Linked DNA regions of Tamandua tetradactyla. The protein of the gene in region 3 purifies or fractionates together with the protein of the main gene of each other region. This does not show direct contact. Links are inferred from orthologs where the notes say so. Each region holds a gene or a part of one and is shown on either strand. Other genes may lie near its edges.

Region 1 (7,261 bases), on a different chromosome or scaffold from region 3:
GTGGTAAATATCAGATGCCACTGTGCATGAGAAGAGCAGCTAAGTAAGTCCTGTCTGGGGGTGGGGTCTGTGCATTCATTGGTGGTTGTTTAGAGAAGTCTGTCTAGAAAAAGTTAACATCTGAACTGATTTTTGAAGAACCAAGTAGGTTTTAGCCAGGTAAGACAGATTATCACAAGAACTATCTACCCAAATGCTCCCTCTCAGACTCTCTTCTTCTAAAGTTCTTTGAAATATTTTAGGAGACTATTCAGAAGTAGTGAAGTTAACTACAGGAAATTATCAGGAACTTCCACATACATTATAAGAAAATCATTCTGTTTTCTTATGTCTGTATTGTCCTAATCTTTCAAATCTAAATTTAAAGTTAAAACTTAAGAATTTTATTAAATATGCAAATTGTTATCCACCATCTAAGTACTTTAATTCTTTATGCTTCACCAAAGTAAATTACCTATTTTCAGTTATCTCTACCTCTAAAAAGCTAGTTAAATTCTCCACAAGTTTGCTAATAACACAATAAACTGGATTTCAGTTCATTGTGCTATTAGCAAAACCAGTAGAAACTAGTAACTAAAGGAACCTGTTTTTAATTTTCATACTTCAGTGTTTAAACAAAGTTCTAGTTTCTCAGGAAACTCTTAAGATCTTATACTACTAGGAGAGACTAACTTGATTTTAAAAAGAATCATTTATTCAATAATTAGATATCTTTTTTTAAATTTATATTGCCTGCCAAATTAGCAACATTTTCTTTCATTGTTCGTTTCTTTTAAATAATACTTGACATCGGCTAACGTGTTATGAGACAAGTAGTCTCATAAACAAGACATACAATATACGGCAACAGACACTAAGCCTTTAAAATCTTCATGTCCTTTATTATACCCACCAATTCTCCTTAGGAATACTTCCAGTGGGAAGAATCCATTTAGATCCTGTACCTCCAGCTGATTTCACCTACCTTAGTGAACTCAAATGAAACCAGCAAAATAGCCCTATTAACTCAAAGAATCCTGAGAAATACTAGCTGCTTTTACACCACTAAGTTTTTGAAGTGTTAAACAATAGATACCTTAGCATCTCTGAGATAGGTAGTAGTATTTATTTCCATTTCAAAGCTGAAGAAGTAAATGCTTAGCTAAAGCTTCTGAATTCCGCAAATACTTGAAAAGCAGTGTCCCTTTTGATAACTAATACATTTATTTTCTTCAAGAAACTAAAAAGCAAAGCAAGCATGGAGAAAAATAAAAGCTCGTTTTACTTCCATCCAAATCTATCAAAATTACATGCAATAAAGGATTGAACCATGGAAACAGAGTTAACTTATTTTCACCCATGAAATGAGTCAGTATGTATTTACTTACTGCCAACAGCAACCTTATAGCACCAGGTACTGTTCTATGTGATACGAGTGTACACAACACACACACACACACACACATTTCATTTTGTCCTCAAACACACATTGACTTTATCCTCAAACAACTCTACGTATAAGTCCTATAATTATTCCCATTTTCCTGATTGGGGTATTGTCTCACAAAATAATTAAGCCCAAGATACACAGCTAAATTTCACAATGATAAAAGCAGATTATATTTGGGCGGTGCAACGGTGGCTCAGGGGCAGAATTCTGGCCTGCCATACCAGAAATCAGGGTTCAATTCCCAGAGCCTGCCCATGCAAAAAAAAAAAAAAAGATAATATTTGCCACCACAGAAAAGGTAGCACAGAGTACCTTAAAAAAAAGAAAATAAGGGTCAAAAATTCAATGGCCAGGTAAAGGCAGGTGTATCCCATTAACATAAATCGGTGTGGTCTACACTGTCAGGATATAAACATTGGGTCAACTTGAAAGGCATATTTTTAACAGAATGCTTGTTTAGTATGGGAAAGGAGGGCTGAGAAATCTACAAAACGAAAACGGTATATGATTCATGTACACTTTTATATATGTATTTTTATACTTACATACATTTATGTATGCATATTTAACATTGCTAAATATCTGGCTGCAGGTCGATGAGGGACAGGCATAATGTCAAAATATTTAATTTGAAGTGGACCTAAGCCTTTACATAAATTCTAATAAAATTACTGAGCAATCCAGATTCTGGAAATTACCAATCTAGACATCCTGATTCACATTATAAGAGCATTCCGCCTTATGCCAAAAATATATGCCCCCTTCTTCTGATTCGGCGGCTTAGTGAGAGTAACAAAAAGATAAGGACCCACAGGAGATGGTCCAAGTGGTTCTAAACACATGATAGCGGCCATACCTCCTCAGCCTGCCAGCTCTGAGAAGCTGTCTCCCGGGAAAACTCTGCACTGGAGCCTCGGAATACAAATGTCCCTAAAAAAAAAAGTCTCAGAGAGGCCAGAAGTCGGCTTGAAGCCGAGTAGCGACGGGGAAAAAGCACCGGAGGAGGCCGAGGCCTGTCTCGCAGGCCGCGATTCCAGGATCCCAAGACGCCAGTAAAGATGCTATCGAGGGCTGAACAAGTTGTCATTCCAGGTCTACGGCCCCAAGCGCCCCTCCACAAGGTCCCCTCCAGCTTTCTACTGCTCCCAACATTTGCTTCTCCCATCGACCTCAGGTCCGCCCCCCTTGGTCGTGGGCCTCGCTTTTCGCTCATACGCGATAGTCGCCGACAGTCCATGGAGAACTTGTCCCGTGGCTTCCCTCCCCACCTCTCTACTCCCGTGCACCTGGGAAACACTCACTTGCCCGCCAGATCTTTATGAGAGCCGCTCGAATTCATTAGCTGGGCCAAATCTTGCCGCACGGCTGCCGCCATCTTCCTTCCCGCTCAGCCGGGGCTGGGAGAACCTTTCGCCGCCAAAAAGAAAACGAGGTGGTCCTCCAGAGCGCAGTCAGAGGGAGCCCGAGATGCCACAGAGTGGCGTCTGTGTTGGCCAGAGCGCCGAAAAAGAATGGGTGTAGAACCTGACCTAGCTCCTCCCCCAGGGCCGAGTGACGCGAACTCCCCAACTCACGTCAGAGGCCAGCTCAAGTCGCTCTCACAGGGTGTCTGACTTCAGATTGGCTGATCAGCTCCAAGTGCGTCACTTGTGCAACTCCAGCAAGTGCCGGGTGCTCAAAACAGTCGCGTTTTCACTAAGTTCCGTGGCTCCTGTCTGTGGTTTACTGCTCCTCCTCCTTTAAGGCAGCACTGTTAAAATTACCTGTAGTAAAGAATGAGTTGTGTTTATTTCCAATTCATTACAGGCTAATACTTCTGTAAAATACAATAAAAATTGTCCCCATTTCCCCTACCAGTCTGTAATCTTTATGTAAGTTGATCATACATCCCAGTTTCTCCAGGATAGTGACATTTACATCTTTTGTCCTGAAATAATTATTAATAACGTACCCCTTTCACTGTAGAAACTGTTCTATTGGACGAAAAATTATACAGCCATCCGTAAGCATAAATTCTAATCAAAAAAGGAAAAAAAATTCCCAAGTGCAAAAAGGGAAAAAGACTCCCCCCCAATTCACTTTTCTTACAACATATTTTAGAAAACCTGACATTGTAAATCCTTTCTCTGCCCCTTTGAGATGTATTTAAATCTTCTTAAAAACTACGTAGTCTTTTGCCTGCCTTACAATCCAGGAATATTTTTCTCCAGGACCTAGGAGGTTTCTTTCTGAAATGTTAGCATCAAGGAAGTTCTCACCCAAGTCCCTATCTCCATAGTAGTTTAACTTAGGCATCTGGCTCCAAATTGTTAACTATCTATACCTCTCATAGAGATAAAAGACATTTTATTTTTTAATAGAGGCAACTGGCAAACACAAAGACCACCCCCAATCACCAGGTGAATTTAAGATGAACTATGTGTGGCAAATGATACAGTCAAGTCCTTTTATTTGCAGACTGTTTATCTTGAAAACATGTTGTATCTGTTTGGCTATATAAAACAGTGGAATTTCTTTCTTTGCAATATCTTTGCGGATTATCTGTGATGCATCACATTCTGGTTTCATGCTTATTCAATAATAAAATTGTTTTTCTTTCTCTTCTACCTTTGTGGAGAAGTTTTCTGGGTTGGGAGAAGATTTTGTTTTTAGTTATTTCCTCAACACATCCTACCATCATGTAATTAAATTAATTACTCATTTATCCTCATAGTGTCTTTTTTTTGCAAATTCAAACAAATAAATGTAAAGTTTCCTCCTTCTTGCTTTCACAAAATGTAGCCCACCCTCTTAAAAAAAACTTTTAAAGATACAAAAAAAAAGTAGCACACGGTATCATTGCCCTGTTCTTGCTTTTTTTTTCTTTTAACTTTTCCTGGAGATTTTAATATGTAACTATGGAGAGGGTCATTCATAGAGCTGGAGAGTATTACTAGTGAAGTTATGCTATAGTTTTATGGCATCTACTGCATAGCTAGATATATGTATCATTTTATATGTGTATAGGCAGAATATATTCCCACATGACAATTGAAGGACAGATGTGGTTACAGTTTTGATAGATAGTGCCAAATGGTATTATTTAACCATAATAATAACCTCCTACCAACAATATATAGGACTGCAATTTCTTACGGCCTTGTCTATCATTAAGTTAAAAGCAGACTCTGAAAACCAAGATGTAGAATACATTTATTGATCTAAGTGATACACGTGAGAACAGAACTAAAAGAAATTTACTATTCAAAGAAAAGTGGCGGGGAAACAGTTTATATTCCTGCTTAGAACAAAGAAAGTATGGGAGAATGGGACAGGAAGGCAAGGAGGATGTGAGCTCCGTGAGTCACTTCGGGCAGGTCGTATTTGGGTTCCATAAATCTGCAAAAGCTGCCCAGGCAAAATGTTTGTGTAGGAATAGGGTTATCTGGTAATGAGTAGCTGACTTACTACTTTCAGCATGACTTGTTTGTCACAGTTCCTTCTTTCCCATGTAGGCAGAGGTCTTAATTAGCACCACAAAGGATTGTTGATATGTTAGCCTGCCCCAGTTACTTTTTGTTTCTTCTTTGTAGTTTCTTGAGTAAAAATGGAAGTTTAAGAAAATTAAGATGATTCCATGTTTTAAATTCAACTTCTATGTGAGACTAAAAGGAGAGATATTTATTTGGTGCAAAATTTATATTTTGGTTAGTGCATTTCCTAATTTAACTTGTATGGTCAGTTTAGTTAACACCATAAGTACATGGAATCTTGAATAGGGCATGAGATTTTGTTGGTTTGTCCAGATTAGTGTGCTGCCCCAATAAATACCAGAGAAATACGGACAGTGAATAAAAAAGTATTTGCAAAGTCCCCTTGGGGGGAATAGGGAGAAAAGGGGCAATATTCAGCTTCCCCATTTGGAGAATTTCTGTTATTCTAGCAAGCAGTGGGGACAACCAAATCAATATGCCAAGCCCTCGATCTTGGGGATTGCCCTGTGAAACTTGTTCTTGTGAAAGATAGGTTAAGCCTACTTAAAATTAGGCCTAAGACTCACCCTCAGAGAACCTCTTTTGTTGCTCAGATATGGACTCTCTCTCTAAGCCGACATGGCATGTGAACTCACTGCCCTCCCCTCTACGTGGGACATAACTCCCATGGGTGTAAACCTCCCTGACAACGTAAGACAGAAATCCCAGTATGACCCGAGACCTGGCATCAAGGGATTGAGAAAACTTCTTGACCAAAAGGGGGAAGAGAGAAATGAGACAATAAAGTGTCAGTGGCTGGGAGATTTCTAACAGAGTGAAGAGGTTATAATTAGGTTATCCTTACACATTATACAGATATCCCCTTTTTAGTTTATGGTGTGTTGGAGTGGGCTGGAGGGAAGCACCTGAACTGTAGAGTTGTGTTCTAATAGCCTTGTTTCTTGAAGATTATTGTAGAATGATACAGCTTTCATAATGTGACTGTGTGATTGTGAAAACCTTATGTCTGTTGCTCCTTTTAATAGGGTATGGACCGATGAGTATAAAATATGGATAAAAAATAAACATATAATAGGGGGAACAAAGGTTAAAATAAATTGGGCAGATGGAAATACTAGTGGTCAATGAGAGGGAGTGGTGAGGGGTATGGTATGTGTGAGTTTCTTCTTTTTCCTTTTTTATTTCTTTCTCTGGAATGATGTAACTGTTCAAAAAATGATCATGGCAATGAATACACAACTATGTGATGATATTGTGAGCCATTGATTGTATAACATGTATGGAATGTTTGTATGTTAAGAATGTTTGTATGTTTGTATGTTGATTTATTAATAAAAATATTTCTTAAAAAAAGAAAGAAAATTAAGCTGATTAGTAAAGGTATTTACTGTTCTAACATCACATTCCCTTCTTTTGGTCAAAGTACTCTCAGGACTTCCCAAAGACCAAGGGGGATTATCTTGTTGATTAAGGCCTTGGCAGACTTAGGATACAGATGAAACAAACAAACAAACAAAACAGTTTCGTTGTTCTTAGTCATTCAGACATGAAGTCGGTGAGCTATGGAAGGATTACTGGGCTTAAGAGGAGCAGGAGCATAAGCATAAAGAGAAGATTAGGGAAAGTGGAAAAGTATTACTATGTTACAACTCACTCCATACCACTACTCTTACAATCTTTCCACACCTTTTCCTCATAAATCCCTGAGCATGGGAATGGGAGGGTACAGGTATACAGTCTGTGATATTGAGAAATGAGGTCACAACTACAATATAAACAGCAATAAGATAGGCAAATATCAATTTTGTTAATACACTAAGGAGTTTTTGTGCTTAGGATGCCATATTTAGCAAATATGCAGGTGAAACTGTCCTAAATAGATGTCACAGATGGGCAGATCTTGTCTAGATGGTCTCTAAAAATAGAAATAACATGTTAAACAGAGAAAGAATAATTAGAATTAGGTAGTTGCCACTTTGAGGGACATCGGTGATTAATAATTATTATTTAATTATTCCAGTTAATTTAAGACAGTGGAGAATATTATACAGGAGGCCAATGTTACTTGAAACTGACACATATCTGCATACTTAACAGTCACTCTGGTTGTGGAATGTCTCCATGGCCATAGCTTAATTAAGGAAGATATTAGATGAACTTGAAGCAGGAAAAGAAGCCCAGAGGTACAAACATAAACATTTAGTGAGTATCTGAATGGGAAGGTCTTTTACCATAAGTAAAATTACTACAGAATTTTCTCCTATAGAGCTAGGATATCTGCTGCTAAAGAGCAAGTATCAGCTTATAGAACCACACATGCTGTCTCCCCATAGGAGCAGGTTTTAGTGTCAATTTTAGC
Region 2 (7,594 bases), on a different chromosome or scaffold from region 3:
AAAAGATGTTTTCTTTCTCTCTTTCTTTTTTTGCCTGTGTGGGCCTCTGCACCCACTCTACCAATACAAAAGATGTTTTATGCAGAATTTAAGTTGATTGAAAATTAAAATAAAACAAAAACTAAGAGAATAACACTCAGCCTAAAAGGTTGCAGGTAATGGCATTAGATACAGACCTCTGGGAGGCAAGGGGCACAAAGAAGTGACAGCTGGCTCAAAGGCTATCTCAGTACAAAATCCTTGAAGATGGTCCCTTGTGAACAGACTTCTGACTTACAACTGGGGGGGACTGCCACTCACCTTGACTTTGGCAGCCAGGGTGACAACTGATAGGTGCCGAAGCTTATTCTTCTGAGCTTCTGTGAGTGGGGGAAGATTCCGGGCTTCAGCTAGGGAAAAAGGACAAAGCGCAGAAAATCTTGACTTTAGTTTTGTGGGAAGCCCTAACCCCCTACCCGATTTTTCTCTTTTTTGTCTTCCATGCCAATCCAGGTCTTGACTCTGACCCTGCGCACTTAGGGGATCCAACTAAGGTATCCCAGGAATTTCTCTCAATTAAGTCCCTCTGGAAAGTTTCCTTCTCCCAACTCCACTCCTTCAAAGTTTCAACCCCACCGGTTACCTAGGTAGTCAGCGTATGTCCCATAAGCAAACACTGTGAGTAGCCGGAAAGTGGATGCAAAGTCGCTCTCAGCCAGCTGCAAGAATATGAGGGAAAAGAGGTGACAGGGAGGGCTTCCCTCTGCTCCCTCCCACCCTTGCCCTGTTTTGACCTCTATTCCTTGGCCCCATCTTTCTCCTGCAACGTGACTTCACCCAGCTTACCAACAGAAATTCTCTGCCTCTCTGACCACTGTCCCCACAGGGAGAACTCATTTCTATCTCCAGGCCTTTGTTTATGCTATTCCCCCAATTTACAATGTCTTCTCATCCATAAACCCTCACCCCCCCCACCAAAAAAAAAAATCACAAAGTGCTCTGATAGAAACACAAATCAGACATTACAAACTATACTGATAGGTCTTCAGACTATGTTTAATATTTCTGAATATGAGTATCTTTAGACAGTCTGCTGTACTCCCCAACTGACCACAGACTCATGCCTCCACCACACTCATCCAATGGCTATATGGCCAAGGCAGACACTTGAGTTTGTTGCCTGTGCTTCAGACCCACCTCAGCCAGAAGTTTGCATCACCCAGGCCAACTCACCCAGATCTCTACCTTCTCCTAACAGTGATCACCCATCCTGGAACTTAATCAATCTCTGCCTAAGGTTGTTACCTAAAGAATACCTTTCTTTTCAACAAGTCTATGGATGTGGTTTCTCACTCGGGATCTAGCAAAGGTAGGCATGTAGATAGCTCTCTCAGCAAATAGTTGTTAACTGAATGATTTATAGGTTTATATTCATTCATCTTATATCTTCAACTGGAATGTAAGCTTCAAATGGGTAAGTACCATGTCTCATACTTTTCTGGTGTTTCCAGACTACCAGCAGAGTTGTCTCTCTTAAATAGGCACCTAATAATGCTTATTTTTCTTCACACTGATTCTCTTTTGTTCTACTACAAAGGAAAGCAACCACAATTTTCCCTGTACCACAGAGTAATGCCCAAAGACTAAGAAATTTTTATATTTAGACATTTTTATTTCTAAGTATTTCATTTGGAACAGGAAACCTGTGTTCCAGCCTATCTTCTCAAGCGTAATAGCTCTTAATCATCATGTCATTTTGATCAGGTCAGCTTCATTTTAGGGGCTCAGTTTTCTCTTTTGAAAATGGTTATGATATTGTTATTGTAGGAACCCAGTGGGATTATGGATAAGTGTAAATGGAAGGAATGAACTTGTTAAACTAGCAGGCCCTGTCCTCCTTCCTTTGTGCCATATGCTAATTTATTTAAAGCAGATAAGGTAGAAAGTGACCCCTCCCCCAAAGACTTGTGGAAAGCTTCTGGAAACAGCAGAGAGAACTTAGAAATAATGACCAGGTTTTACAGAGCCTTCATCTTCAAAGGAAACTAAGAAGTTCACTTGCTTATTTTCTTTTGTGCCAGTTAGTCACAGTATTCTTATTCAATTGAATGGTTTTAGGGTTGCAAAATGAACCCTTGTCCTTCCATCTCAAATTGAAACTTAGCCCCAAGCTTCCCTGTGGACTTTTCAGGCCAAAAACCCACCTCTCTAACATTGGGCATATCCAGCAGTTCCCCAAACACGTAGACACCAGGGGCCTCCAGCACCTGGTGGATCAGTGTGGCCAGTGCTGCCCCCTTGGCTGACTTGGCCAGGAGTAAAAATTGCTCCTGGTTCTGCCCTGTCACCTTCACCTCTGCACTCATGGCCGCACTGTGCTGGGGGTATCTGGGTTCAGGATGTCCGGAGCTGCAAGGAAAGAGGATGTGAAGCTGGCATCCGTGAACGATGGCAGGATGGGAAGCAAAAGGGGGAGGAGCTGGATATCTGAGGCACTGAGTCACCACTACAATGTGAAATCAGAGATTAACTGGTCTAGAACTCGGATCTAGAAATCCAAAAACCGCCCAATCTGACCACAGCATGGCTGAGACAGGGATGCCAGGTCCACCCTCTTTCCCGACCCCCTGGGTCTAACCCCAAGCGCCACCACACGCACCCCACTGAGCCCCAAGACACAGGATACAGTGGGGGAAGGGGTGTCACATGATGCCCACCCCAACGACGACGAACTCCCTCAGTCTTCCCCTCGTGCCCCGCACGTGCCCCCGATCATGTGACCTCTCCCCCACACTCCTTACACGTGGCTCCGCCCCCTCCCTTAAAGAGGCCGCTCAGAGACCGTAGGCTTCCGCCGACTGCCCGGTCGTACCCTAGGTCACACTCTGCGGGTCACTACCTGGAAGCTCCGTCTTCCAAGTGCATCGGGCGGGGCCGCCGCACCGTCACCTCCGGCAGCTGTTCTGCGCCTTTCCTGCCACCTCCCTCCAGGGTCGCTCTAGCTGCTAAACTCTATGGCCTTCTTCCGGCCGTACTTCCGCTCTAAGGACGCGGGTATCTGGCGAGACAAACTCGGTCCCAGCCTCCTCACTACTGAAGCTCGCGTGAGGGACGCAGGAATCCTACTCTTTGATTGGCTGCTGGAGAAAGACTGACGGGTGTCTTTTTTTTCTGCTCTGATTCAATAAAACTTTATTGGTGGGAGAGCGTCTGACGCTAATCGCAGACGGAACTATTGGCCCCAGGCGCGTCCGAGTTGGCTTTGTGTGAGTTGTAAACAGCCCGAGACCTAGAGACCCAGGCTTCCCCGGATGCTGGACGCGAGACGGCAGTTGTAATGGCAGGAAAGAGGGAGAAGGAGGAAAAAAAAATGGGGGAGGCGGAACGAAAAGGATAGAGGAAGGAGTAATAATAATAGAACATTAGCGACAGAGGTAACCTAGATAGTTCAACCACTCATTTTTTGAGAATCAGGAGAAAAGAAGAATAGCTAACATATATTGAGTGCTTACTGTTGGTCAGGTGTTTAAAACATTTTTATCCCAGTGAATCCTTAAAACTGTTCTGCCTCCCCAATCTAATGCCAGGACGCCCTCTACCGCGACTGCAGCATGTACTTGTGGAGTGATGCTGTCTATAAATTGACCTCTTATTATTACTATTATTATTTCCGGGGGAGGAAAAAGCCCTAGGTTGGAGGAAGGCATATGTTTTATTATTCTGATTTTACAGATAAGGAAATTGAGCTCATCAGAACTCATGGGTTTGACTGGAACCCAGATCTTTTCAAACCCAAAGCTGTCTTTTCTGTCACCTGTTACTTTAGAGAGAGAGAAGGAAAAAAAAAAAACCCTAATATTTCTATAGTGTTTTATGTTTCATTTTAGGTCTGCAGAAGGTCAAATGAGAAGAAAATTAGCGGCCTGTTGGAGGCTTTTGTGCCAAGCACTGGGCTGAGACCTTTACGTAACTCACTTGATCTTTACAACAATCTAGTGATTATCTCCATTTTCCAGATGGAAAAACTGAGGCCCAGAGAACTTAATGAACTTGTAAGTAATGGAAAGAAGACTAAGGGGAAGAAAAAAAAAGAAATTAAGAGAAAGACATAGGGCTAGTAGACTGTTAGAGCTGAAAGGACTTCAAGCTCAGTGTTTATGGTTTACACCCTTTAGTTCATGATAGAAGAATGAGAACCAGGCGTAGGGGAAGGAGAAACAGCAGAGGGGAAGGGAGGAATGCACAAGGAGGAGAATGGAAGAGATGAAACATAATAGTGAGGGGAAGGTCAAGGCATAGTAAAATATTCAAAGTACAAAGAAACCAATCTTAATTATTTTAAAGAGGGAAACAAAAAAATATATAAGAAGAAAGAATGAGAAAAGAACGAACATTTGTTCTATTATGTGCCAGGTGCTTTATTTGTTCAATTTTCTCCTCAGTCTTTACAGTGACTCTTTGAGGTGCATATTAATATCTCATTTAATCTGTGAGGACACTGAGGATCACGGAAGTTAAGTAATTTGTTGAAGGTCACCAGGATTGGTGGAGCTAAGATCAATCCAAACATAAGTTTATCTGATTCTAGCCTGTTCTAAGAAAGGGAGGAAAGAAAACTAGCTGTTTCCTTAAAGCAAATCATGCCATCTTGTGGTATCTCTTCTGTTTCTGCAAAGTGAGAGATTAGATGATGGAATCTCAAAGCCAATTCTGATTCAGATGTTTCATATTTCTGTGAGAGAAAGAGGAGTGAGTGGAAAAAAACGAGAGAATAATTGGTTGAGTAGGGAAAGAGGAGACTTCAGAGAAAAAAAAGGAGGGAAGAAGACTAAAGAAGTCGGGTTAGAAAGAACAGAGAAAAGAGGATGAGTAAGGTTGAAATAGAAAAGAGAAAGGAATAGAAGTGGGGAAAGAGGGAACAATGGGAAGAAAAAGTTCTCCAAAGGGAGGATGGGAGCTAAGTAAACATGTGAAGCTCAGAATGTACATTCATTCACATGTTTTTTTTTTTACTAAGCAATGGTTATGTACAAGGCAATGGACCAGGTACTGTGTTCTTAATGGTAATGATAGAGAGTAAGATGTGCAGAAATAAAACTAGAAAAGTTGACGGGCATGCAACTGGTCAGACATAATAAAATATTCATTGTTGATTCAAAAGGTATATATTGAGTACCTGTTGTTTTCAGGCATTGTTCTACCTACTGAAGACACAGAGAAAATCCATGCCTTCTTGGTATTTACATTCTTGTGGCTGGACTCAGGCCCATAAGTAAATAAATATATAAAAGAAAAACAAAATCAAGCTAAGGGGGTAAGGGATGCAGAAGTTTGCTAATTTATATAAATATACCTGATAAGGTAATACTGGAGCAGAAACGTGAAATCTTTAAGGGAGCAAGTCATATGGATTTCTGTGGGAAGGTATTCCAGACAACACAATCTACAAGTCCAAAGGCCCTTTGGACTTGTAGATTGGTGGGAACATGCTCGAAGAGTTTGAGGAACAGCAAGGTGGTCTGGAACTGAATGAGTTAAGAGAGAGAAGTAGGTTATCCTTGCAGAGGATAACTAAGCCTACTTAAAATTAGGCCTAAGAGTCACCCCCAGAGAACCTCTTTTGTTGCTCAGATGTGGCCCATCTCTCAGCCAACACAGCAAACAAACTCACTGCCCTTCCCATCTCTATGTGGGACATGACTCCCAGGGGTGTAAATCTCCCTGGCAGTATGGAACAGAAATCCTAGCATGAGCTGGGACTCGGTGTCAAGGGATTGAGAAAACCTCGACTGAAAGGGGGAAAAGAGAAATGAAGCAAAAATAAAGAGTCAGTGGCTGAGAGATTTCAAATAGAGTCGAGAGGTTATCCTGTAGGTAATTCTTACGCATTATATAGATAACCCCTTTTTAGTCTAAGGTATATTAGAGAGGCTAGAGGGAAGTGCCTGAAACTGTAGAGCTGTGTTCCAGTAGCCATGTTTCTTTAAGATGATTGTATAATGATATAGCTTTTGCAAAGTTGACTGTGTGATTGTGAAAGCCTTGTTCTGATGCTCCTTTTATCTACAGTATGGACAGATGAGTAAAAAAAAATGGATTAAAAATAAATAAATAATGGGGGGAACAAATGTTGAAATGAATTTGAGTGGAGGGAAATACTGGTAGTCGATGAGAGGGAGGGGTGAGGGGTATGGCATGCATGAGTTTTTTTCTTTTTTCTTTTTCTGGAGTGACATAAATGTTCTGAGAAATGATCATAGTGATGAGTATACAACTGTGTGATGATTTTGTGAGCCACTGAGTGCACAGCAAGTATGGAATGCTCATACATTAAGGATGTTCGTGTTGTATGTTGATTGGTTTTATTAATAAAAATTAAAAAAGAGAGAGAAGCAGGGATGAGGACAGAAAGATTAACAGGGTGTAAAGGTGTAACAGGGTAACCAGACTATGTCAGGCCTTTTAGGCCATTAGAAAGACTATGGCTCTTACTCCAAGTGAAATGGGCATGCAGTAGAGGATTTGAGCAGAGAAGTGACATGATCTGACCCACGTGTTTAATATATTATGATGGATACATAGAAGCAATGAGAGCACTTAGGAGGCTATTGCAGTGATCCAGGCAAGAGATAGATGTTGGTGGCCTGAACCAAGGTGGTAGCAGTAGAGGTGGAGAGAAGTGATTGGATTCTGGATTTAATTTGAAGATAGAGTGAACAGAATTTGTATATGGATTAGGTGTGAAATGACAAAGGAAAAGAAAAGTCAAGGATGACACTATACAAGCAAGCTGCACCAACTTTCTAAGTGCAGCTCATTTTAATTTTAACTTTTCCAGATAATAGGAAAAGAAAAAAACACTCCTCAGCTCTTTTTCAGCCAGAATTACTTTGATAACAAAACCAGGAAGGAACACCACTAGAAAGAAAATTACAGACCAATCTCACTCATTAATGGAGATACCAAAATCTTCAGTAAAATGTCAGCAAATCAAGGAACGAGGTGGAATTGCAGAAACAAGAAAAAGAGCAACTGTTCTGAGCAGAAGAGAACCTCACCAAGGACCCACAGCTGCAGTTTGTGCAGCAAACCATACAGGGCATTCAACAGCAACTGCTGACCATCCAGGAGAAGCTAAATAACAAAAATCAGAATTGAAACAAGCAGAAGAGCAGTCCCACAAGCAGGTGTTACTCAAAGTTCTCCAGGAACAATTAAAAGGCACCAAGGAATTGGTCAAGACCAATGGCCATAGCCATGAGGATTCAAATGAAATCAATGTGTTGACAGTTGCATTAGTCAACCAAGATTGAGAGAACAATATTGAAAAAAGAAGCCTAGGCTTAAAATCAGAGAAAGAAGCTCTGCTAATAGGCCTCATATCCACATTTCTTCACTTCTATCTGTTTGGAGCCAATATAGAGTACCTTTGGTCACGCATGCAACAGCTGGACTCCAAGGAATTCACTCGTGTAGGAGCAACACTGTAAGAAAGATGGAAATCGTGTGTCTTTGAAGGAATTAAAACTACTTAACTGTGAAGAGCCAAGAACCAATGGAAATTAAACTGTCCAGGGCTGGCCGGGGCTGTACCATCTTACACAAGGCTCTCGCA
Region 3 (7,766 bases):
ATTAGAGGAAAGAGACTCCTTGGTCTCTTTGATAGAACTACTCTAGACTCTGCCCTGCCCTGCCTCCCCATTACCCCATTACCACATTCCACCTCCCACCCCAACCTGAGAAAGAAGCTGAAAGGTCAAGGATCTGCTGAGCAACAGAGAAAGTACAAGAGTGGCCCAGCCCTGGTCCCAAGCACCAAGGGCCACAGACTCAGACACCCTCCCGCTGCCCCTGCCCCTAATCATGCAAACTCCTTGGAGCAGGAAAATTGCCAAATCCTCTGGGCCCTGAATATTTCCTCCATCACCCCCCCCCCCCCATCACCCACCCCTTCTCTCCCAATACTTTCTAGCTCAACCGATTAGGTACTCCCACCAGCCCATCCCCACCCTGGTACTGCCCCCATAACCATGTGATTCCTCCCACAATTATCTGGGACTGGGAGGTGAGGCAGGCTATCTCACAACCATTCCTGTTCTCCTGTTAGCTGGACAAGACTGCTGGGTTACCTAGGAATATTACAGGAGTCACTAAGAAGAGGCTCGGGGTTGTCAGCCTCTGGGAACCTCAGCCTGGCCAGAGAAATCCCTGTCCTTCAGCTGGTGTCCTGTCCCTACCACATTCTCCAAGAGAAATGCAAAGCAACCTTTCATCTGAATCCCACATCCACCACTCTCATTTTACAGAGAGAGAAACTGAGGCTTCACTAAGGCAAAAATTTAAGCTCCCACCCTGTCCAGTGGCCATAGCAGCTGCAGTCTCCAGGAGTCAGTCCTCACATCCTGCCCCCACAGGTACTACTTCATAGAGGTACCTGAGACTCAAGTGGGAAATGAATAAGCAACTCCTCTTCCCTCCCCAGATCCAACATATGGGCCCCAGCCAGAGCAAGGAGCCCCCAGAGGACACCATACAATATTTATGACATATTTGTGTTTTTTAAATTATTGTTTACCTAAAATCCAACAAACTGGACATCCTGTATTTTATCTAGCAACCATACCCCAGAGCCATTGCACAACCACAGACCCCCAAGTATTTCCCTCCCATGGCCCCCAGGGCCTTACTTTAATTATCTGCAAAATTGTAAGAAGCATATCAGAACAGCCACCTCTGGTGGATCTCATTCAAGATTAGACAGGTCCAAGGATCCAAGGATGGCTTATCCTAAAGCCAATGATCTGGGAGATAGCAGACTCAAATTCCTTCCTTTCACCCTTCTCTCTTTAACCCTATCATTAATGGTCAGGAATGAGAAAATAGAGTAGTTTCTTTTCTTCTTTAGTGAGGAGGGTTTGTACTAGGAGAAAGTTCAGCAGTTGAGTACAGCTTTGGAGGCAAACAAATTTGAGTCCCAATTCTGTCACCCCCATTTATCAGTTGTGGAACCTCAGCTCAGTTGCTTCATCTCACTTGCACTTCAGTTTCCCTGGCTGGAAAATGGAAATAATACCTTCTTTCCAATGATATTGTAAGGGTTAAATATGATAATGCATGTAAAGTGCTAAGCGTGGGGCCTGGTGCACAGTAAGTGCTGGATAAGTAATGGCTATTCTGATTTTGATTATCATCAGTCTGTACCTGTCCCAGTTGGAGTTCCCCAGGTCAACCTTAGCCCTGGCTGATTTCTCTTTGCCCTCAAGGTTGCCTGTTGGAAGAACTCAGGCTCTCTATATTAAAATGAGGAACATGTTCCTTATAAGAAATAATCCCAAGGCACCTTTTTAGGAGCACTGGAAAGTAGTGGAATATCCATTCTTGAGGGTCACCTGGCCACTCTCCATTCCAGGAGAGAAATGAAAATGAGTTCATCAAAGGGTAAAGGTTGGAAGCTCTACTTCTGGCTTCCTCATGCCTGCAAGGACTACAGTTGATTGAGGGTAAAGGGCAGTCAAGGTGAAAAAATCCCTTGGATGTGAAGTCAGACATGTCACCATCCCCCACCAGCTCATCACTTATGCCCCTCTGCTGGGATGAAGTCTGCATCTGGAACCTTTGCCCAGAGTGCACTCCCCTACTTCTCTTGGGATCTCTGGTAAGATGGTGATATTACAGTCAAAATAGAGGCCAAAGCAGGAAGCTGGAGTGGGTGGTGAAGATGATATACCAGGTCCTTCCAATGGGCCTGCCCAGCACAAAGCAGGGGCTGACGCAGGAAGAGGGCCAAACTCTGGGCTCCAGATACTCCCAGGGCAGGTCGGATCCCCCAGCCTAACTACCAAGATGATAGCCTATCATTTCTGCTCTTCCTGAGGCCCTACCCTTCGCAGAGGGCACGTACCAGGAATGGCTTGGAAGTTAAGGAGTGGTTGCAGGGCACTTAAGGAGGAAGCAACAGTCAGAGGTATCCTGAATTTCCTCATGCCAGTGTACCCCTACCTTCTTTTGCCCAGGGTAATTTATAATCCCCAGGTTCAAGAGATTATAAATCCTTTTGGGAGGAAATGAAGGTGGAGTCAGCCTTAGGAAAGATTCTGGTATCTCGGCCTTGCCTCCAACATACCAGAAGCCCCTGTTTTTTTGGCGATATCTATTTTTGTAGCTGTTGAGTCCTTTGTAGAAGATTCAGGGAGATGTGGCCTGACCCATTCAGAGGTACTCTAGAGATCGCTAGGGCAGACCCTGGTGGAGACACAGGTCAGATAAAGCCTCCTACTCTATCAGTTACTTTACTTCTAAAGTATCTACAGAAGAATGGCTTTGTCTAATGGACAAACATGGGAATGACTCAATTAGGAAGTCCAAGGCCCTCTACCATCACCTGGAGTAACCCACCTTCTGCTCCTCCTCAAGCCTGACTGCCACATGCTAGGATCCCTGAGAGGTGTTGCCAGATATAACCAAGAATACCCAGTTAGGCTTGGGATCCCAAGTCATTAAGAAGAGATATCTCTAGGTATGGAAAGATATCCTGGGGTCTTACCATGGGGCAATTCCTCTACATTCCCTCAGAGGTAGGGGTGTCTCTCTATGAAATTCCCATGATGTTTCCAGGGGACAGCCGTTTGTCAAGCTCCTACTTCATCAGACTCAGACTTGTCACAAAGACAGCCTTTTATGAAGTCACAACCCAGCCCCCTCCCCACAGGACCAGGGACCAGGACAACCAGGGACCAGTAGGCAAGGGAAGGGTTCAGGAGCTGCCTTTGGACTTTGGAGATGGATGTAAGGTCTGGAAGAGCTCACTGGATCTCTCTAACCCCACGCTGTAGGGAGTGGAAGAAGAGGAGGAACTTTCAGGGACCTGGAGATGAGAAGAGTTTCTCAGGTCTCAGTCACTGCCAGGAGGTGAGAACAAATGGGGCCTACAGCTTTGGTTCTTGATGTCTTGCCTGTCCCTTGTCATCTGGCGGGGGGGGTGGGGGGGTGGGAGAGTGGGAATAGGACCCCTACCCTGACTAAGTAAAGATAAGTGTCCTCATCACTGATGTTCTAAGTGTTTCACAGCAAAGGGATTAAGACTCTGAGGCAAGGACTAGATCATGCCCTTACTGTCATCTATCCATGATCAACCACCTGAATATTCCACTTGGTGTCCAGGGCAAGCGCATGCTATCAAATTCTGCTGCATTGACAAGTAGACTTGATGACCTTGAGGCTGGGCCACCCAAAGGGAGAAGAATGTCAAAAGAAGAAACTGGGAGTGCCAAGCACCCACTCTTCCCAGAGTGTAGAGATTCCCTCCTCCCAGAGCCAATCTAGGGGTAAAAAGGAGGGAGGAGAAAGCTTCACACCATCAAGTGTAGAACGTCGGTTGCCACTGTGGATGATCACAGTTTAGGGGGGTAGAGGAGGGATAGAAAGAGCCACTTGTTGGAAGCCTTATTTTAAAAATAAATGGGGGGGGGGGGGTGCAAGGGTAGTTCAGTGGTAGAATTCTTGCCTGCCATCCAGGAGACCCAGGTTTGATTCCCATCCCATGTAATTCCCAAACAAGCTAGGAAACCAACAAAAACAAACAAACAAAAATTCAACAAAATGGTGCTGCAATAATAGGATACTCACATGGAAAAAGAATGAAATATGACCCTGCCATATAGCATACAAAAGAAAGAAAGAAAAAAATAAATGAGGAAAATTGTGTTTCAAGTTAAGGATTCTAGCATTCCTGCTCTGTGCCTGACCCTGTGCCCACTGGACTCTGTGCCCACGAGGACACTACACCAAGGAATTCACAAGCTCTGCCCTCAAGGGAACCACAGTCTAGGGAGTGAGTGGCTATGCCTAGCTGTCTCCCTTAAAGAGAAGGCTGCTGTCCCATGAAGTGGTCAGGTAGCTGGAACCCAGGATCCACACTTCCCAGGCCAGGGCCCCAAATTTTTCTAAAGGTAAGAACAGTCTGGGATCTTGAGGACTTCTGGAAGTTGATCTGAGGTGTGTCCCACTGCTCTCAAAGTCTGCAGGTCTGGGGTCTTTGGATCGTTTATTCTGTTGACAGTGGCTTTTCCCCATGAGATCCCAGGCCAAAAAGACCTCAGTTTGCAGCTAGAGGCTCTTGGTCATATTGAGTGGCTGGTTCAAGCTATGCCTCCACAGAGACCTTCCTGCTGCCTGTTCTATGGGCCGGCAGAAGCATTGTCAGGGCAGACCTGGCCTAAAAGGCGGAAGACTAGAGATTGACCCTGGACAAGTTTCCCCATCCACCCACTATGAGGAGGGGAGTTTTACTGGATCTGTGGTTTTCAAGTTTCATTAGTATTATTTTACCACAGAATCTATCTTTTCCCCCATGAGATATTTTTGTCTTACACATTTTTCAAATTGTACTATTAACTATTGTCCATTATTTAACTTTGGGCTCACTGTTTGTGTTGTTTTTTTATTTTATTTTTTTTATTTCTATTCTAGTAACATATATGCAAACTAAAATTTCCCCTTTTAGTCACATTTAAATATATAATTTGATGCTGTTAATTACATTCACAACATTTATAGTACCATCACCACCATCCATTTCTAAAACTTTTCCATTGTCCTAAATAGAAACTCTGTACGTTTTGAACCTTAACCCCCTAGTCCCTACCTCAACCCTGTTCTCTGGTGACCTATATTGTGGATACTGACTCTGATTTTGCTTATTTTAATTCTTTCATTTCATTGAGATCATACAGTATTTGTCCTTCTGGCTTATTTCACTCAACATAATGTCTTCAGGGTTCATCACTGTTGTCACATGTATCAGAAATTCATCCCTTTTTATGGCTAAATAATACTCTGTTTTGGGTATACACCACACTTGGTTTATCCACTGGCTGATGGATTCTTAGGTTGCTTCCATTTTTGGGCAATCATGAATAATTTCACTTTGAACATTGGTGTGCAAATATCTCTAAGTCTCTGCTTTCAATTCTTTGGGGTACATACCTGGAAGTGGGATTTCTGGGTCATATGGTAATTCTATGCTTAACTTTTTGAGGAACTGCCAAACTGTCTTCCAAAGCAGCCGCACCATTTTACATTCACACCAGCGATGAGGGAGTGTTCCTATTTCTCTACATTCTCTCTAATGCTTGTAATTTTCTATTCTGTTCATGGTAGCCATTAGTGAGTGTGAAGTGGTATCTCATTGTGCTTTTTCTTTTTACATGGGCAGGCACCGGGAATCAAACCCAGGTCTCTGGCCTGGCAGGCGAGAACTCTGCCTGCTGAGCCACCGTGACCCTTCCTCTCATTATGCTTTTGATTTACATTTCCCTGATGGCTAATGATATTGAGCACATTTTCATGTCCTTTTTGGCCACTTGTATATCTTCTTTAAAGAAATATCTATTTGGGTCTTATGTCCATTTTTTAATTGGTTTTTTTTTTCTTGTTGAGTTGTAAAATCTATTTATATATTCTGGATATTAACCCTTTATTAGAAAGGTGATTTCCAAATATTTTTTCCCATTGTGTAGGTTGTCATTTTACTTTCATGATAAAGTCCTTTGAGGCACAAAAGTTTTTAATTTTACCTTATACCCAAAGCAAGAGCAATGAAGAAAGAAAGAAAGAAATGGGAACTCCTCAAAATTAAACACTTTTGCGCATCAAAGAACTTCATCAAGAAAGTAAAAAGACAGCTTACACAATGGGAGACAATGTTTGGAAATGACATATCAGATAAAGGTCTAGTGTCCAGAATTTATAAAGAGATTGTTCAACTTAACAACAAAAAGACAGCCAATCCAATTACAAAATGGGAAAAAGACTTGAACAGACACTTCTCAGAAGAGGAAATACAAATGGCCAAAAGGCACATGAAGAGATGCTCAACTTCCCTGGCCATGAGAGAAATGCAAATTAAAACCACAGTGAGATATCATTCACATTCACCAGAATGGCCATTATCAACAAAACAGAAAATGACAAGTGTTAGAGAGGATGTGGAGAAAGAGGCACACTTATTCACTGTTGGTGGGAATGTCAAATGGTGCAACCGCTGTGGAAGGCAGTTTGGCGGTTCCTCAAAAAGCTGAATATAGAATTGCCATATGACTCGGCAATACCATTGCTAGGTATCTACTTAAAGGACATAAGGGCAAAGACACAAACGGACATTTGCACACCAATATTTATAGCAGCATTATTTACAATTGCAAAGAGATGGAAACAGCCAAAATGTCCATCAACAGACGAGTGGCTAAACAAACTGTGGTATATACATACAATGGAATATTATGCAGCTTTAAGACAGAATAAGGTTACGAAGTATGTAACAACATGGATGAACCTTGAGAACATTATGCTGAGTGAGACTAGCCAAAAACAAAAGGACATGGTCTCACTGATATGAACTGACATTAGTGAATAAACTTGGAATATTTCGTTGGTAACAGAGACCATCAGGAGATAGAAATAGGGTAAGATATTGGGTAATTGGAGCTGAAGGGATACAGACTGCAACAGGACTGAATACAAAAACTCAGAAATGGACAACACAATACTACCTAACTGTAATACAATTATGTTAAAACACTGAATGAAGCTGCAGTTGAGAATGATAGAGGGAGGAGGGCTGGGGGCATAAATGAAATCAGAAAGAAAAATAGATGTTAAAGATCAAGATGGTATAATCTAGGAATGCCTAGAGTGTATAATAATAGTGACTAAATGTACAAATTTTGAAAATGTTTTTGTATGAGGGAGAACAAAGGAATGTCATTACTGCAGGGTGCTGAAAATAGATGGTTATTAATATTTTAAAATGTCACCTTATGTGTGAGACTTAAGCAAAAAATGTTTATTTGGTACAAAATTTATATTTTGACTAGTGCATTTCTTAATATAACTTATGTAGATAGTTTGATTGAACATCATAAGTACTTGGAATCTCAGGTAGGACATGAGATTTTGTTGGTTTGTCCAGAGTGATGCCCCGATGAATCCCAGAGTGATTCGATCAGTGAATGGGAAAGTATTTGCAACAAGCCCCCTTCAGGGAATGGTGAGAACAGGGAGAAATTCAACTTCCCCAGGTTGAGTTCTTGATATTCTCACAAGCAGTGTGGACAACCAAAGCTAGGCTGAACTCCCAGTCTTGGGGGTTGTTCATATGAAACTTAACCCCACAAAGGATAGGTCAAGTCTACTTAAAATTTAGGCCTAAGAGTCACCCCCAAGAGAGCCTCTTTTGTTGCTCAGATGTGGCCTCTCTCTCCAGCCAACACAACAACAATCTCACCACCCTCCCCCTGTCTACGTGGGACATGACTTCCAGGGGTGTGGGCCTTCCTGGCAAGGTGGAACAGGAATCCTAGAATGAGCTGAGACTCAGCATCAAGTGATTGAGAAAACC
Region 4 (7,361 bases), on a different chromosome or scaffold from region 3:
GGAAAGATGAGGATGACTATGTGGAGTAGGAGAGGAGGCTGCTTTAACAAGAGATCAGTGCATGCCAAGGAACCCAGGCCTGTCACATGCACCCAGGCACTGTAAATAGTGCAGCTGGGTATGGCTAAAGCCACAGTTGTGAGTTAGGAAACAGCCGGAATTATGTTAAGAGGTAGGCCAAAGCTAGAGGGAGGCTGGCTTTTATCTAACAAGTGACAAGGTTCAGGAGTGCCACTGGCCTGTTCGAAAAAGGTGCCAGACCAATTCAAACAAAGAACAAGTAGAAAAAGGCACCTACTTCAGACAGATCAATTAGAAAAGGCACCTCTTCCTCAGCAGAGAGGCCCCACAAAGCTTGACCACACAACTTAGATTTTAGCTCCCATCTGCATCCCTGAGTGCAGAGCACACACTACACCATCAATACACAATGGTCCTTATAAGGACAAATCATTTTGAGTACACTAGGCTTTTATTTTAGAAAGATCACTCCGGCTGAGGTAGGCAGATGAACTATGAGAAACAGCTTGGGATAGCTAAATGAGTCAGAAGCTTTTACAATAGTCCAGGCAAAACCTACTTAAGGATGAACAAATGATATACAGGAGGTGAAAATCTACATCCCACATGCAGTGCATGTGGGAGACAAGATTCAGTTAAGGAAATTTGAAGAGTAATGGTCCCTGTAATGCATTTTTCTTACATTCAATGTAAACTTAAAATATTAGACAAGATTACAAACACTAGCATGACTAATAATTTTAAACTCTGCAGTGTGATTGTGAGCAAGTCACTGAAATCTATGCATCTGCTACCTCTGAAAATAAAAGGTGACAGAAATTGTTGCAAAGGTCCTTCCAACTTTAAATTTTTTTTTATTTCTAAGTTATTACTTTGGTGAAGTCCTTTCAGAGGTAAAGAACAGTTCCTACACCAGAATGAGATGCAGTGCATAATCTGACTTCTCTTGAGCAGAGAATGTGCTTAACTGTCCTTGATGTTGAGATAATACATGGCACTACCCCAGAGCCTACATGAGGGCCAAGAACATGGCAGGTGTTCAGTGCTTGTTGAATAAATTAACAATATTTTTCTGTTCTAGATCTTCATACCGTTCCTCTTGGCCAACTCCTTCTTCTCAGCTTATAAATGTACTCAAGCCCATACACTTCACATCTACAATTTTCAGGACCTTCTTTGTAGGTAGCCTTAGTCATTCCCAAACCTTCAAACACTTGACTTTCATAAAACCCAAATCTGTATCTTAGGCCAAGACCCCCTTCAAGCTACAGGTTTCCTAACAGGCATGTATGCACGCTCCTCAGACTGGTGAACTAAGATCCTCTCCCATCCCCAATCCATTTTTGTTGTGGCCTGTATCTCGGTGAAAGGTGCTGCTCTGAACTATCACCTAAGCAGGTCACCTGGGAATTCTTCTGCCTCGTGTCTCTTAATGACCTCTCTCTTCTAACTGGTCATCAGGATCTATCCATTCTCTTTGATTTCTGAAATACAATCCTTCTGGCCAACCCCATACTTTATAATTAGAACCTCTAGATGCCAGGATTCAATTTGCTTTCAATACACTGCCCTCCACAGGAGAATGGAGTGAGGTCCTGAATCTGAGGCCAATCTCATCACTCCATCAACTTAATGCCTCAGGGATTCCTCATAGATATCAAGGAAAAATTCTAAATCCATGACAGGGCAAACAATGTCCCTTGCTTCGGATTTTAACATTCAAATTTTGGCTCGTCTCAAACTTTAAGTTCTAGTTCAGTTCCTCACTTTTGCCATATTGTCTCATATTCCCAAGACTTTTACAGAAGTTGCTCTCTCTTGCCATCAGACTACCTTCTACACAGTCTTCAAAAATAGATCAGATAGCACCTCCCTCCTCCAATTTCTGGGGCTCACTCTACACAGCACTGACCAAGAACTGTGTTTACCTGCTGCCTCCCCCAAGTGAAGGAGAGATTCTTTTAGGTCAGGGGTTGTATCTCCAGTGCAGTGCTTGGTGAGCCCATTCTAGTGCCAGAATGCTTCATACAATCTTTAATCTTAAAACCCTCCATGGAAAGAGCTGTTTTTCATGCCATTTTACGAATGCAGGAATTGTAGTTCAAAGAGTACATAACTCGTCAAGGTCATATAGAATATAAATCCTCGAATTCAAAATAGCCTGTCTCCAACACCTGTGCTCCTTCTATTTCACGCTACTAATAAAAACAAAAAATTTTTTTAACATAAATGGCTTAATAGAAAAAAAATCAAGAAAGAAGCTGGAACGTATCATTTTCTAAACCGCTTTGTTCTTTGTGAGGCAAGGTCATCAGCAAAATAGGTTAGTATTTGTCCAAGGCTTACTGATGTTCCAAATTCTGTGCAACATGCTGTACAAGCATGAACTCAGTTGGTGAATCCCTGAGTTCTGTCACCCAGCCACGTTAGAGGAGAAAACGGAGGCTCGGACATCTAGATCGCCAGGGTCCCCCAGCTGGAAAGGGTTCTAGGCTGCAGAACCGTCTACTGCACACACGCCCCGCGCTCGACACCCACAGCTCCCACCCGTTTCGCGGCTAGTCCAGAGGGAGGCACGCCGCACCGACACCAGGGGCACTGGCAGCGGGAGCTACAAACCTGTTTCCCCAAGCCACGGTTGGAAGTAGCTCTTTATAGAGACCAAGGGCAGATCTTTATTAACCTTGAGGGAGCTCAGGAGGGGCGCCCAGTCCACCACGCGGAGGCGGTCGGCGTTGAAGTCCAGCACGCCCTCCTGGAGGCAGGCGCGCACGGCGGGCAGCGGCACCGAGTCCTGCAGCGCGCACAGGTACTCGTAGTGCGAGAAGAAGTCGGCCGTGCTGTCGCGGCGCAGCTTCACCGAGTCGATCATGGCGAGAGGAGCGGGGTCCTGAGGAAGACCCGCCGCGGAGACAACGCCCGCACCCACCGAGGAGTTCCGGGCTCGCCGTCCGCCACCCTCGGGTGTCCTCGGCTCGGCAGCTGCGGCGCGACGCCTTTCTCAGGAGGGCTGCTGGGCCCGAAGACGCAGGCCCTGGGTCCAGGCTAGAATGGCCCCTCGATGCCGCGCTCCCGCGCCACCTCCCGCCTCGCTGCCGAGGCCGTTGGCACCCGCCTCATCGTCTACCTCGCGCGGATACGGTTCCAGCCGGCGGGAGAAGCCAGCGGCGGTCAGCGCAAGCAGACGTCAGCACGCTCGCCATTGCGTCCGCACGCAGGCCACGCCCCCTTTTAATGGGCGGGCCGGGAGAAGGCGCCAGGGCGCGCAAGACAAAGAAGGGAGGTGGTTGTATGAATCTGGGGTTTGCAAAAAGCGCTAACATATCAGGATAGAAGTGAGATATGAACGTAACTGTGGTGTCTTTAGTCTAAACTTCGAAAATTGTATTCTTGTGTTTGCAGCTCTTGGACAGAGTACAATCAATAAATAAGGGATATATGAACGATTGCTTCAGTGTTCACTGTTGTCCATTAAATGTCTTTTTAAAAAAAAGTTTTTTAAACTTTGTCCGAGTTAATTCCTGCAAATTATTCTGTTTCTAGCTAACTTCCACCGTTGCTGCCGAATTAAAAAGTGTTCTCTGAATTGCGGACATTATTGTGAATACTGTAATTATTGATTACCAATAATCCCTGTCTAAATTAATGAGAAAAACAGCAGACACTGCAATAACGAGTCATTCTACAATATACCTGTTAGTCCTCTTCACAACTTGCAGGGTAGTCAAGCCCAAGGAAAATTTGAGTAATTGTCACAGGCAAGAAGTGTCTAAGGAAACAACAACTCAATGTTATGTGGCATCATGGATGGGATCCTGGATCAGAAAAGACACTAGATACAAACTTTGGAAATCTAAATGAAATATGTACTTTAGTTAATGAAAATGCATCGATACTGGTTTGTCAGTTGCAAGAAATGTAAGGTGTTAATAATAGGGAAAACTGGGTGAGGGATAAAAAAATATTTGACAAATTTGCATATATTGATATAGGAAGATATCCATGATACATTGTAAAATGAAATAGGCCTTACAGAATAGAGACAAATATTATGTATGCATATATACTCATGAGAATGTAAGATACATGAGAGAAGAGACTGTCTTACTTACCTGCAGCATCTAACTGATACATAGTGGGCACTAATAAATATTTGTGGACTGAATGTTAAGTACACAGAAAATGACCTGGAAGAATGAACAGTGCATTATTATCATTAGTTACCACTATTGAGGGGAGTAGGATGGAATGGTAGTGAAGACTTGCAGTGTTTGTACTCTAAATTTCTGATGTTTAGTTTTAAAAGTATGCATTAATATTTGTGCTTCCTGGCTCCTAATGTGCTTCAATCCCAGCAGCCAGCCCCTGAGTCTTCTTTGCTAGGCTGCTCTCAGGCTATCAGAAATGGCTAGTAACTAGTTTAACTAGTAACAGAAGACAGGGGTGTAAAAGCTCTGACAATTTAACCCTTGTGCAATGCAGAGGTATACTTTTTGTCGTCTCTACAGCTCACCTGAGATTCAACCTAATTTCACTGACTTCAGGGTGCTTTATTTCAAGTTGCATCCTTTTAATGGTCTCCTTCCATTACAAGTTCCCTGGATTTTCTCAGAACCGCTCCTCCTCTCAAAGTCTGCTTCCTCTAAGTCACCTGTATAATTTCTTAAAATTTTCTTTAAAAATCAGTGCTTATTGGACAATAAGATAATTGACTTTCTCAAACCTTTCCAACGTGCAAGATTCTAAATTTATGTTAAGAAATATCCAGGCACAGCTCCATAATTTACGGGGCCCATCAGAAAATGGAAATGTGTGGCCTCTTGTTCAAAATGCAGAAAATAATGGGGTTAAAGGTAGAACTTTTTTCTTTCTTTTGAAGTTCCTTTATTTGTCATTATGTTTTTTTATCTACTATTGACTGAATTTCAAAGAAATGAAAAATTAAAATTTTACATTAGCCTGAATTTTCCCGTTCACCTTTATGTTGTGCAATGACATTATTAAATGCAAACCTAAGAACTTCTCACTTGTATGAGAAATCTCCAAAATTATGCAATTTTTATTCTGTAGCTTACACATGCATATATATTTCATTCTTATAGAAGTGCTGCACAAAACTAACTTAGTTTTAATTTCACTTTTGTGTGTGTGTGTGTGTTCTGATCTTTCCCTTGATTTATTTTTCCATTTCCCTACTTTGCCTTAATATCTCCACAAATGTATAAATTAATGTGACAGAGTGAACTGAAAGGTTTAGGAGGCGAAAGGGTGAGAAAGAAGAAAGGTACACCAGGAAATTTAAAGTGTGTGTAGGGGGTATTTCTGTGCTCCAGGCAGAACTCATCAAAGCCAAGATGGAGGGAGGTGAGTGCACATGCGGGCTTTGGCACAGGCAGCTTTTAAGGATGGAGGTCAGGTGACGTCTGGAAGGGGCAGTTCATTAGTTCCGGAAGTCAGGCTGGCGACACAGCCTCCACAGCTCCAGTTGCAGTGCCCTTCCCCGTTTCCCCGACCTAACATTCCAGCCTTTTTGTGATAATAGGGCGCTGAGATCTTTCTGGCTACTTCCTGCTGTAATGGGGCAGCGTGGGGTTATAGGCCGGAACCATCATGACTAGGGGAGTGGGGAGGCTGGCTGTAGGAATCTGGTGAGGAGGGCAGGTGATGATAATGATGCAGGAGCATCTGGTTGACTGCTATCCAGGATAGTTCCTTCATGCATCCCTGAAGGAAGTTGAGGAGGCAGGGAGCTAGGAGAAAAGAGACAGATTAGGATAACTGGTCCTAGTAGCGGGAGGAGCCATGTCGTCAGAGGAGAAGAAAACCAGCTTAAAGCAGAGTTGGTTCCTCGTTTTCTGTGGTAGAGATCGTCTCTTAGTTTGTTTAGGGTTTGAATATTTTGTTCCACCAGACCTGACTCATTGACGTAATAACAGCATTCCTCTTGGAGGAATATACACATTCCTTTTTTCAGATGTCAGCAGATCTAAGGGCCGTCAATTTTGAAGAGTTACCTGTGCTAGTGAGATAAGTTGGTAATGTAAAGAGGAGAGGGATTCTGATGTCAATTCCAGGGCTACCTGTAGTCAAGTTTCGAAGATTTGAAAGGTTAAAATACCATGTCCCAGTGCCCCTCCCAGTGTGGTTGAGGCTGCAACTGAGGCAATTAGGTTGATGCCTCCCATGATGGGAAGGAAGGCAGCCCTTTATGAGCGAGGAGAGGGCAGTAGCCAGGTTAGTTCGGACTCCCCATAGAGGGTCAATTGAGGAACAATAGTAACCAGGAAGCATGGTCCTGGGGCAGTGGAATTAAGGCACTTGGTAAGAGTTCCATTACACCAGAAATATTGTCCTTTGGGGGCATGGGTGCTGTGGATAGTGACGTTAGTCTGGCACTTGCTATGAAGTTTTGTTTGAGGGTTTTTTATCCAGTGTAGTGAGGTTCTTAATTTGGCAAGAAGATCTTGCCCCATTAGCGGGCCGGGGCAAGAAGGCATTACTAAGAAAGAATGTGTAATGGGGTACCCTTCTATTAAACATGTAAGAGGCCCAGTACTTAAGGGGCGTGAAGGATGGCCGTCTATGCCCATAACTGTGACCTGGGAAGGAAGGAGTTGACCTGAGTAAGAGGGGAGGACAGAAAAGATAGCCCCTGTGTCCACTAAAAAGGAGGTGGACTTAACCGCTACCTTGATTGTTACGCTGGGCTCAATGAGGGTGATTGAGGTCTCTGAGGCCGGGCGTTGTCAGTCGTCAATGGCCAGGCCCAGGACTGCTAGCAGTAGGTTAGGGGTTGGAAGGATGGCCGCTCCACGGCCAGGCGCCAAGGGGCAGTCACTTTTCCAATGTCCCTTTGTACCACAGAGAGGGCATGGTCCCTTGGGCGGTCGAGGACTGGGGCACTGGTAGGACCAGTGTCCGTCAAGGCCACATTTGAAGCACTTTCCTGGTGGTGGATTAGTCGTACCCAGTTTCGTCTCTGTTGAAGTGAACCGCAGAGCCGCAATCAGGGATTGGGTTTGTAAAGTTGCCTTTTGGCGGTCCCGGGATTCCTTTTCTGCCCTCTCTAGTTCATCATGAGTATTAAAAATTTTAAAGGCAGTGTTTACCAGGTCACAGATAGGGGCCTGAGGACCGTCCTCAATTTTTTTAAGTTTACACCTTATATCTGGAGCCAATTGGGATATAAAGTATGTGGCTAAAACAGTTTTACCAGCCTCTGAGTCGGGGTCTAGGCGGGTATATTGGGAGAGGGCTTCTGCGAGCTGGTGTAGAAAAGTGGCCAGGTTTTCATCAGGACCCTGGGTAATTTCCCTTAGTTTATGGAAGTTTACTACTTT

Evidence for each region.
Region 1: the proteins of DCAF1 (region 3) and COPS4 purify together in Homo sapiens (affinity purification with mass spectrometry; 4 studies listed by BioGRID, with this or other methods). This does not show direct contact. The link is inferred for Tamandua tetradactyla from reciprocal best matches to the Homo sapiens genes DCAF1 and COPS4.
Region 2: the proteins of DCAF1 (region 3) and COPS7A purify together in Homo sapiens (affinity purification with mass spectrometry; 4 studies listed by BioGRID and IntAct, with this or other methods). This does not show direct contact. The link is inferred for Tamandua tetradactyla from reciprocal best matches to the Homo sapiens genes DCAF1 and COPS7A.
Region 4: the proteins of DCAF1 (region 3) and centrosomal protein of 78 kDa-like purify together in Homo sapiens (affinity purification with western blotting; 3 studies listed by BioGRID, with this or other methods). This does not show direct contact. The link is inferred for Tamandua tetradactyla from reciprocal best matches to the Homo sapiens genes DCAF1 and CEP78.

Annotation. Positions count from the first base shown.
Region 1 is NC_135350.1:44,643,839-44,651,099, forward strand, and holds the start of COPS4 (COP9 signalosome complex subunit 4), read right to left. Parts: upstream 3,008-7,261; 5' UTR 2,805-3,007; coding exon 2,731-2,804; intron 1-2,730. UniProt on the Homo sapiens protein: Component of the COP9 signalosome complex (CSN), a complex involved in various cellular and developmental processes.
Region 2 is NC_135333.1:69,008,627-69,016,220, reverse strand, and holds the start of COPS7A (COP9 signalosome complex subunit 7a), read right to left. Parts: upstream 3,017-7,594; 5' UTR 2,905-3,016; coding exon 2,879-2,904; exon of another isoform or gene 2,781-2,878; intron 2,769-2,780; exon of another isoform or gene 2,639-2,768; intron 2,389-2,638; coding exon 2,184-2,388; intron 699-2,183; coding exon 623-698; intron 390-622; coding exon 301-389; intron 1-300.
Region 3 is NC_135341.1:34,577,561-34,585,326, reverse strand, and holds the start of DCAF1 (DDB1- and CUL4-associated factor 1), read right to left. Parts: upstream 3,020-7,766; 5' UTR 2,913-3,019; intron 2,816-2,912; exon of another isoform or gene 2,765-2,815; intron 1-2,764. UniProt on the Homo sapiens protein: Acts both as a substrate recognition component of E3 ubiquitin-protein ligase complexes and as an atypical serine/threonine-protein kinase, playing key roles in various processes such as cell cycle, telomerase regulation and histone modification.
Region 4 is NC_135328.1:108,966,610-108,973,970, reverse strand, and holds the start of centrosomal protein of 78 kDa-like, read right to left. Parts: upstream 3,005-7,361; 5' UTR 2,894-3,004; coding exon 2,641-2,893; intron 1-2,640. Other genes in the region: centrosomal protein of 78 kDa-like, read right to left, coding at 5,614-5,771. UniProt on the Homo sapiens protein: Centriole wall protein that localizes to mature centrioles and regulates centriole and cilia biogenesis. Involved in centrosome duplication: required for efficient PLK4 centrosomal localization and PLK4-induced overduplication of centrioles.